2 linked regions of the Macaca fascicularis genome follow. The protein of the gene in region 2 interacts with the protein of the main gene of each other region in a pairwise test. Links are inferred from orthologs where the notes say so. Each region holds a gene or a part of one and is shown on either strand. Other genes may lie near its edges.

The links.
Region 1: the proteins of RPA1 (region 2) and RPA4 interact in binary tests that used the Homo sapiens proteins (3 or more experiments, as listed by UniProt). The link is inferred for Macaca fascicularis from reciprocal best matches to the Homo sapiens genes RPA1 and RPA4.

What each region holds. Positions count from the first base shown.
Region 1 is NC_088395.1:103,604,322-103,608,410, reverse strand, and holds RPA4 (replication protein A 30 kDa subunit), read right to left. Parts: upstream 2,801-4,089; 5' UTR 1,860-2,800; coding exon 1,074-1,859; 3' UTR 204-1,073; downstream 1-203.
Region 2 is NC_088390.1:1,945,552-1,949,628, reverse strand, and holds the start of RPA1 (replication protein A 70 kDa DNA-binding subunit), read right to left. Parts: upstream 2,801-4,077; 5' UTR 2,694-2,800; coding exon 2,661-2,693; exon of another isoform or gene 2,653-2,660; intron 1-2,652. Other genes in the region: SMYD4 (SET and MYND domain-containing protein 4), read left to right, coding at 3,690-3,734. UniProt on the Homo sapiens protein: As part of the heterotrimeric replication protein A complex (RPA/RP-A), binds and stabilizes single-stranded DNA intermediates that form during DNA replication or upon DNA stress.

The DNA of each region.
Region 1 (4,089 bases), on a different chromosome or scaffold from region 2:
TAATGGTCAATTATTTAAAAGTCTCATATAATTTATATAATCTACACTAAAATGTATTGTTAGAACTAGGCTATAGCATATGTTCTTGGTATTATATATAGAAAAGAAAAAAATCTGGATAATTAAAACTATTAATCCTTAAGGATATAAAACAAAAATGCTTTTTCAAATGTACTTAGAAAAAAAATCACACAGGAAAGTTAAGATTTTATAAAACTATTTTAATAAAACATTTGAATAAATTTGTGTTAAACTCAGGAAGTTTCATATTCCCATGACTTGCTTCCCTAACCTCCTAAAAATTACCTTGTTATACATAAAACAGAGCATTTAGTAAAATAAATAATACACCAGCACATCAAACTTACAGAAACTCTGGCATCCATTTACCATGCAAGTGCAATAAATTGTAATTTCATCCAAATACCACGTCATGTATGAAATAATCATTAAACTTCACCACATTAAAAAAAAAATTCAAAGATAACCTGGCAAAAATGATTTATTTAAACATAGTATAATCTTATTTTAAGAAAACATAAATTGATAGTAATGAGAGCAAATCACACATAAATGTTTGAACTGAGCATTAGAATTCACAAATTAATATCTTCAGCTCATTTGAATTAATGAAGTACTAAATACTATATTGAACAAGAGATAATATCATTATACGCTAAATCCAAACATGGAAATAACTCTAACATAAAAACAAGCAAGACTTTTTGTTGTTGTTGTTGTTGTTTGGTTTTTTTTTGGGAAAAGAAGCTCCAACACAATTAAATAATACATTTCTACATTTTCTGTAGTTTTTCTTCCCCTCAAGTCATCATGTTTCCATTAGCTTGCTAGTAAATCCTACAGAGTTGTCAATTTATCCATCACCATCTCTCTCTGAGCTTCAAATATAGAAAATCTGAAGAGTTCAAAGCAGTTAGAAAAGCAGCGAGTTGACAAAGAATGCCACTTGAGATTTTTTTTTTTTAGTCCTACTTCCTAAAAAGTCATCAGGTCAAAATTACTCTCAGATGGATGCAGGGATCTTTGGAAAAGGAAAGGATGTTTTCCCTGCCTCAATCAGCAGACTTAAAATGCTCCTGATCCACAGTGGGATAGATGTGGCCCTCGACCGTCAGATATTCAATCGCTTCCTTGATGGCCTTGAGGCTAAGGTCGCAGAGCTGAGCCTGGAGCTCATAGATGCTCTTCCCTTCCTGTTGAGGACACTCATGAATCAAACGCAGCACTTCGTCCCGGATGAAACTGCGGTGACTCTCATCGTTATCCCCAGCATCATCCACTTCCGATGGAAACACAGGCACACTTTCTACAGTGGTATCACGACGGGCTTTATCCAGCATCATGTGTGCATTGACCGTTTCCAGAATATGCACAGTGAACTCGTTCATGTCCTCTAGGACATGAATTTTCAATACCTCAAGGGTCTTTGTTCCCGTGGGACATTTGAGGATACCAAACACTTTGACATATGCTCCGACTGACAGTGGAGTCACTTGCTTGACTTTTTCTCTACCAAACCACTGTCGGGCCTCGATTGGTTTCGCAGTCATATCATCAATTTTGTAACAAATGTGATTTGAAGCCTTCTCTGCCCCTCTGATTACCCCCACGATGGAGACCTGGGAAACTATAATTCCCCTAACCTTGAACACAGTGTCAAACACAGTAGAGCTGAGAAGCTGGTTCACATTACACGGTACAACGTCCTGAATTCGGACCTTAGGTCTTTGGGTCTTAATAGCAGGAGCTGCATCTCTCTCACACAGTTGGTCACTGCCTCCACTCCCTCCATCAGCAGCAGAAATGCTGCCATAGCTCCCAAACCCACTGTTACTCATCTTCAAGACAGTTCAGGCCGAGGAGAAGGTGGGCTTTGGCTCGTCTGGGGCTCCACGGACAGCTTTGAGTTCTCCACAGAAGGCTTTGAGCTCTCCACAGAAGGCTTCAAGCTGTCTGAAAGGCTACGATTGAATGCTGGGAGCCTGAGGACGTGACAAGCTTCACGCTACCTGTGGACCAATCAGCTACCAGAATGCGTCTGCTTCCAGCCAGTCAGGGTCGGCCACCTTCTCACCTGACGGCATAATCCTTCCCTGTGTGTCAGTGGTTGCTACATTCTAAAAGCCCCACACGAGGGGAGCCCTGTTGCTTAGCTGGTCAAAGCGCCTGTCTAGTAAAAGTCCCACGTGTAATTTCAAGCAAGCCTTTCCCAACATCTCTATAAAAATGCATTTTTACTAGTCCCCCTCTTCATTTCTTAATGCTACAACTTCTACAATTACTTTTAAAAGACTCATTTATTCATTCATTCAAACAACAATGCAACAGAAATTTTAGGAGCATGAAGTGCTTGGCAAAACGGTAGAGTGCTGTACGTTATGTGCAGGGGGAAAAATGTACCACCGTGATTACTGTTCTCAAGAATTCACGTCCCCCGTTCATTCAAACCGTTAAAACCAGGAGCATTGGGCCGGGTGCAGTGGCTCACGCCTGTAATCCCAGAACTTTGGGAGGCCGAGGCAGATGGAGTACTTGAGGTCAGGAGTTCAAGACCAGGCTGTCAACGTGGTGAAACCCCGTCTGTACTAAAAATACAAAAATTAGGCAGGCGAGGTGGTGCACACTTGTAATCTCAGCTACTGGAGAAGCTGAGGCAGGAGAATCACTTGAACCCAGGAGGCAGAGGTTGCAGTGAACCGAAACAGCGCCACTGCACTCCAGCCTGGGTGACAAGAGCAAAACTCCATCTCAAAAAAAAAAAAAAAAAAAAAAAAAAAAAAAACCTAGGAGTATTTTTTAAGAAATAGCAAGACAATCGTCTTTCAATGATTATCATACTCTAAGATAAGTCACATCTTAACACTGGCTTTTTAAAATTTTTTGTTGTTTTAAAATTGTAATTTTCCAGGTATTTTTTGCCAAGTGCACTATAAATAAGTAATTAATATATTTCAATTTATACATAAATCCAAACTGAATGACTGAGCTCTAAATTATTTTCAAGGCTCTGTGGAAAGGACAGAAAAGTACAAGATTTACGCCTATTACATATTAGGAAAAACATGGATAAAATCACAGTAAGTTTTTTATATACTCTTACGGAGTAAATTCTGAACTTCTAGCAGTTATACAAATAGATCCCAGATTTTTTTTTTTTTTTTTTTTTTTTTTTTTTTTTGAGACAGGGTCTGGCTCTGTCTCCCAGGTTGGAGTGCAGTGGCGGGATCTGGGCTCACTGCAACCTCCACCTCCCGGGCTCAGGTGATCCTTCCACCTCAGCCTCCTGAATACCTGGGACCACAGGCACACACCACCACATCTAGCTGACTTTTTTGTATTTTTAGTAGAGACGGGGTTTCACCATGTTGGCCAGGCTGGTCTCAAACTCCTGGACTCAAGCAATACACTTGCCTCAGCCTCCTGAAGTGCAGGGATTACAGGTGTAAGCCACCATGCCCGGCCAAGAATGTTTTGATATTTTATTGAAATTTTGTTTTTCTTTATAAAATATTTTATTTTGGGTGTTATTGATTTAAAGGCTTAATAAAGGAACCACAGTTACTGGAACCCACCATTGGCAAGTAACCTCCTAACAATCCTTTGTAGTTAGTTAATAGCTTAAATTAGTAGAGTTTTGAGGAGTTTATTAATGCTCTCATTTCTTTTACTGGTTAAAATAATTCACTTTTTGCTATCTCAAAATTACAGAAATATGTGGAGTATATCTAAAACTTATAGAAGAACATGAAGTTATATATACCTTTCAAGTTTTAAAAGAATAAAATTGACCAGGCACGGTGGCTCACGCCTGTAATCCCAGCACTTTGGGAGACCGAGGCAAGTGGATCACGAGATCAGGAGTTCGAGACCAGCCTGGCCACTATGGTGAAACCCCTTCCCTACTAAACATACAAAAATCAGCCGGGCATGGTGGTGCGCGCCTGTAGTCCCAGCTACTCAGGAGACTGAGGTAGAAGAATTGCTTGAACCTGGGAGGCGAAGGTTGCAGTGAGCCGAGATCGTGCCACTGCACTCCAGCCTGAGCGACAGAGCGAGACTCCGTCTCGC
Region 2 (4,077 bases):
TACTAACTTGTTATAACGTGTCTGAACAAGATCTAGTGTGAGGCACTAAGAAGGATTAGACATCAATTTGAAAAGAGTCCCATGGGAGCAACACGAATTCTGCTAAAATGGAAGCAACAATGAACACCAAATTCAAGGTGAAGCTTGGGTGGAAGAAGGGTGAAATCACCAATGCTTTATGAAAGAAAAGTATATGGGGACAATGCTCCAAAGAAACCAGCTGTTTACAAATGGATAACTCATTTTAAGGGACAAGGCCAGGCACAGTGGCTCATGCCTATAATCCCAAAGACTTGGGAGGCAAGGCAGGAGAACTGTTTGGAGGCCAAGAGTTCGAGACTAGCTTAGGCAAGATGGTGAAACCCCATCTCTACACAAAATTAAAAAAAAAAAAATTAGCTGGGCACGGTGGCATGCACCTGTAGTCCCAGCTACTCGAGAGGTTAGGGTGGGAGGATCACTTGAGCCCAGGAGTTAGAGGTTGCAGTGAGCTATGATCGTACCACTACACTCTAGCCTGAGAGACAAAAAACGAGACTGTCATTTAAAAAAAAAAGACTACGGCCCGGTGCAATGGCTCAAGTCTGTAATCCCAGGACTTGGGGAGGCCGAGGTGGGCAGATCACTTGAAGACAGGAGTTCAAGACCAGCCTGACCAATATGACAAAACCTCGTCTCTACTAAAAATACAAAAATTAGCTGGGCGTGGTGGCACACGTCTGTAATTGGGAGGCTGAGGCAAAAGAATCGCTTGAACCCGGGAGGTGGAGGTTGCCACGAGCCGAGATCGCGCCTCTGCACTCTAGCCTGGGCAACAGAGTGAGATCCTGTCTAAAAAAAAAAAAAAAAAAAGAAAAGCCCTAGTAAGTATACAAAGCGACAAAATGTAATACTCAAGGGCACATATGTTCGGCCAGGCGAGGTGGCTCATGCCTGTAATCCCAGCACTTTGGGAGGCCGAGGCAGGAGGATCATGAGGTCAGAAGATCGAGACCATCCTGGCTAACACGGTGAAACTCCATCTCTACTAAAAATACAAAAAATTAGCTGGGCATGGTGGCGGGCGCCTGTAGTCCCAGCTACTTGGGAGGCTGAGGCAGGAGAATGGCGTGAACCCGGGAGGTGGAGCTTGCAGTGAGCCGAGATCCTGCCATTGCACTCCAGCCTGGGCGCCTGGGTGACAGTGCGAGACTCCGTCTCAAAAAAAAAAATGTTCAAATGCCCCATGGAAGAAGGGAGGAGTATGAAAAATACCAGAAATCTAAATGTAAAAAAAAATGTGGGGGTGACTGGAGAGTAGGCTGAGAGTATGCTGTGGATGGGAATGGTGGCAGGAACGTATGCTGAGTGGAAGTGAACAGCCCAGGCAAAAAAAAAAAAAAAAAAAAGATGGTGCCAGTATGGATGGAAAGAAGCCGGTGGGCTTGGTAGATCTACGCGGAGGTACAATACACTTCGCTTGGTGAGGAACTGGACGCCCAGGTGATGGACAATGTAGGAGGAATGATTTCTCAATCTCTGGTTAGCACTGAATTGAACAGATAATGGTACCATTCGTGGAGATAGGGATCAAGAGGCCCAGACTTAGAAAGATAACGAATTTGCTTTGGGATATGTATATTGAACTTAAAAGCCTCTGAAGCATGGAATAAGCAGATAGATTATAGAAGTTTGTCTTTTAGAGTAAAGGTGGCTCAATACAAAGAAATTTGTCACGCCTGTAATCCCAGCATTTTGGGAGGCCGAGGCGGGCGACACAATGGAGGTCTGGAGTTCGAGATCAGCCCGGCCAACATGATGAAACCCTGTCTCTAATAAAAACACAAAAAAGTAGCCAAGTGTGGTGGCGCACACATGTAGTCCCAGCTACTCGGGAGACTGAGGCAGGAGAATCGCTTGAACCCGGGAGACGGAGGTTGCAGTGAGCCGAGATCGCGCCACTGCACTCCAGCCTGGGCGACACAGTGTGACACTCACACAGTGAGTGTCGCCCAGGCTGGAAGAAAAAAAAAAAAAAGAAATTGCCTTTGGGAGTCAAGAGGGCCTAGAGGGAGCCTTGAGTCAACAAAAATTTACAAAGAGGGGCCTGCAAATAAGACGGGGATAGACCCGCCAAGCTGAGCCACTAAAACCCAAGGAAGAGGGCGTGAGCAGAAGAAGCAGGGCTCAAAAGCAAACGCTGCTGAGAACTCAGGTAAGCTGAAAACGGAAAAGGGCTGGATTTAGCAACTTGGAGGACACTGGTCCCTTGAGCCAGGGTTTTCTACAGCGATCAAGGGGATGCCTGGAGTGGGTTAAAGAGTTGATGAGAGGCGAGGAAAGGAAGTGGCTGAAACCAGACAAGAAGTTTGGCTGCGGGGCAGGAAAGGAGAAGAAACAGAAAGTGGCCGCAGGTGGAAGATCCAGAAAAAGGCAAGCGTTTATTTACTTTGTTCTTAAGTAGGAAAAACGTGAGCATGTTTCAAAGACGATCAGAAGAATGCTTTGAGGAGGGGGTGATGACACTAGACGGGGGCTCGGCGGGTCCCCACCGCCCCCCGCCTTCTCCTCCCCTCGCGTTCATCCCCCGTCGCCCCGGGCTCCCCTCCCCCTCTCCACTCCGCGAGGCTCGGGGCCGCAGCCATCCCGCACCGCCGGCCCGGCCCCCGGCACCTCCTCACCGCAATGGCCCCCTCGCTCAGTTGGCCGACCATGGCTCCGCCGCCCCGACTCCCGCGCGGACCCCGCGACAGCTGGAGCTTCCCCACCGGGGTCCCGCGCGCTGCGCAGTTATTGGCCCGAGAAGCTGCGTGCGCCGCTCCCGCCCCCGACGTGCGCGCGTCCCAGGGGCGGGCCCGGGCGCTGCGCAGCCGCCACATTGGCCGAGGCGCGGCGCACGTGACTTGCTCGCGGGCCCAAGGGAGGCCTGGCGCGGAACACGGGGCGCGGGGCGGGGCGCCGAGGGGCGCGCCAGGAGCTGCGCGGGCGCGGGGAGGGAGTCCGCGGCCCAGTTCCGGGCGCCTGTGAGCGGGCTCACGAGGCTTTCTCGCCTCGGTTTCCGGCCAGTGCACGGGTTGGTAGCCCAGAGGAGGTTAAAGCTGTTCCCTGAGACCTCAGCTGCTAAATGGAGTCGCAGCAGTGACCCGGTTCCTCCAGCAACGCGGGGCTGACTTCTCGACCGGGGCCAAACCCTGAGCTTGGCACCGTTGAGGGGGGGGTCTCCGAAGGGGAATCAGACCTGGTCCCTGTCCGTGGAGAAGAGGACAGTGTGTGGGGGCACTTTATGCCGTGAGTAGCCCCAGCGCCAGGTAGACGTGGTACAGGCCCCAAGAGTGTTGGAAATCAGGGAAGCCTTCCCAGAGGACGTGCCGTTTGAACCGAGTCGAAGAACGAACCTGTGGGAATTTTCCAGGTGGACTCCATAAGCCAGGGTAGGATTGGTCCGGAAAGCACGAATAGCCTCTGCCAAAACCTTGGAGAGATGAAATAGCCTGGCAAGCCGGGGATCGCAATGAGTAGTTCAGTATGCAAGGCTGCAGAGGAACAAGTGAGACCTGAGAATTAGAAAGTCAGCCAAGGGTCAAGTAAGGACGGTTTTGTCCTGGGCTTCCTGATATGCTTGGAGTAGCGTTGATGAATTTAAGGCAGAGCACTGACTTCTGTCTCAGTGTTGGAGGCTGGATTGAAAGTTGCGGGGGGGTGCCAATGGCATGGACACTAATTATGACACTCTAGGAAGAATGCCAGACGAGATGGTGAGGACTTAAACCGAAGGAATGACCTGGGGGTTGAAAGAGAACGCTGAACTATATGAGAGAGAGAAATACCTGTTAATTGAATAGTTGCTGGGGTGGGTGAGAAAGAAAAATCTGGGGAAGTGTCTCAGGTTTCAGACTTGAGAAACTAGGGGGATCAGGCCGGGCGCGGTGGCTCACACTTGTAATCCCAGCGCTTTGGGAGACCCAGGCTGGAGGATCACCTGAGGTCAGGAGTTCGAGACCAGCCTGGTCAACATGGTGAAACCCCCATCTCTACTAAAACTACAAGAATTAGCCAAGAGTAGTGGCGCACTCCGTAATCCCAGCTACTCCGAGGCTG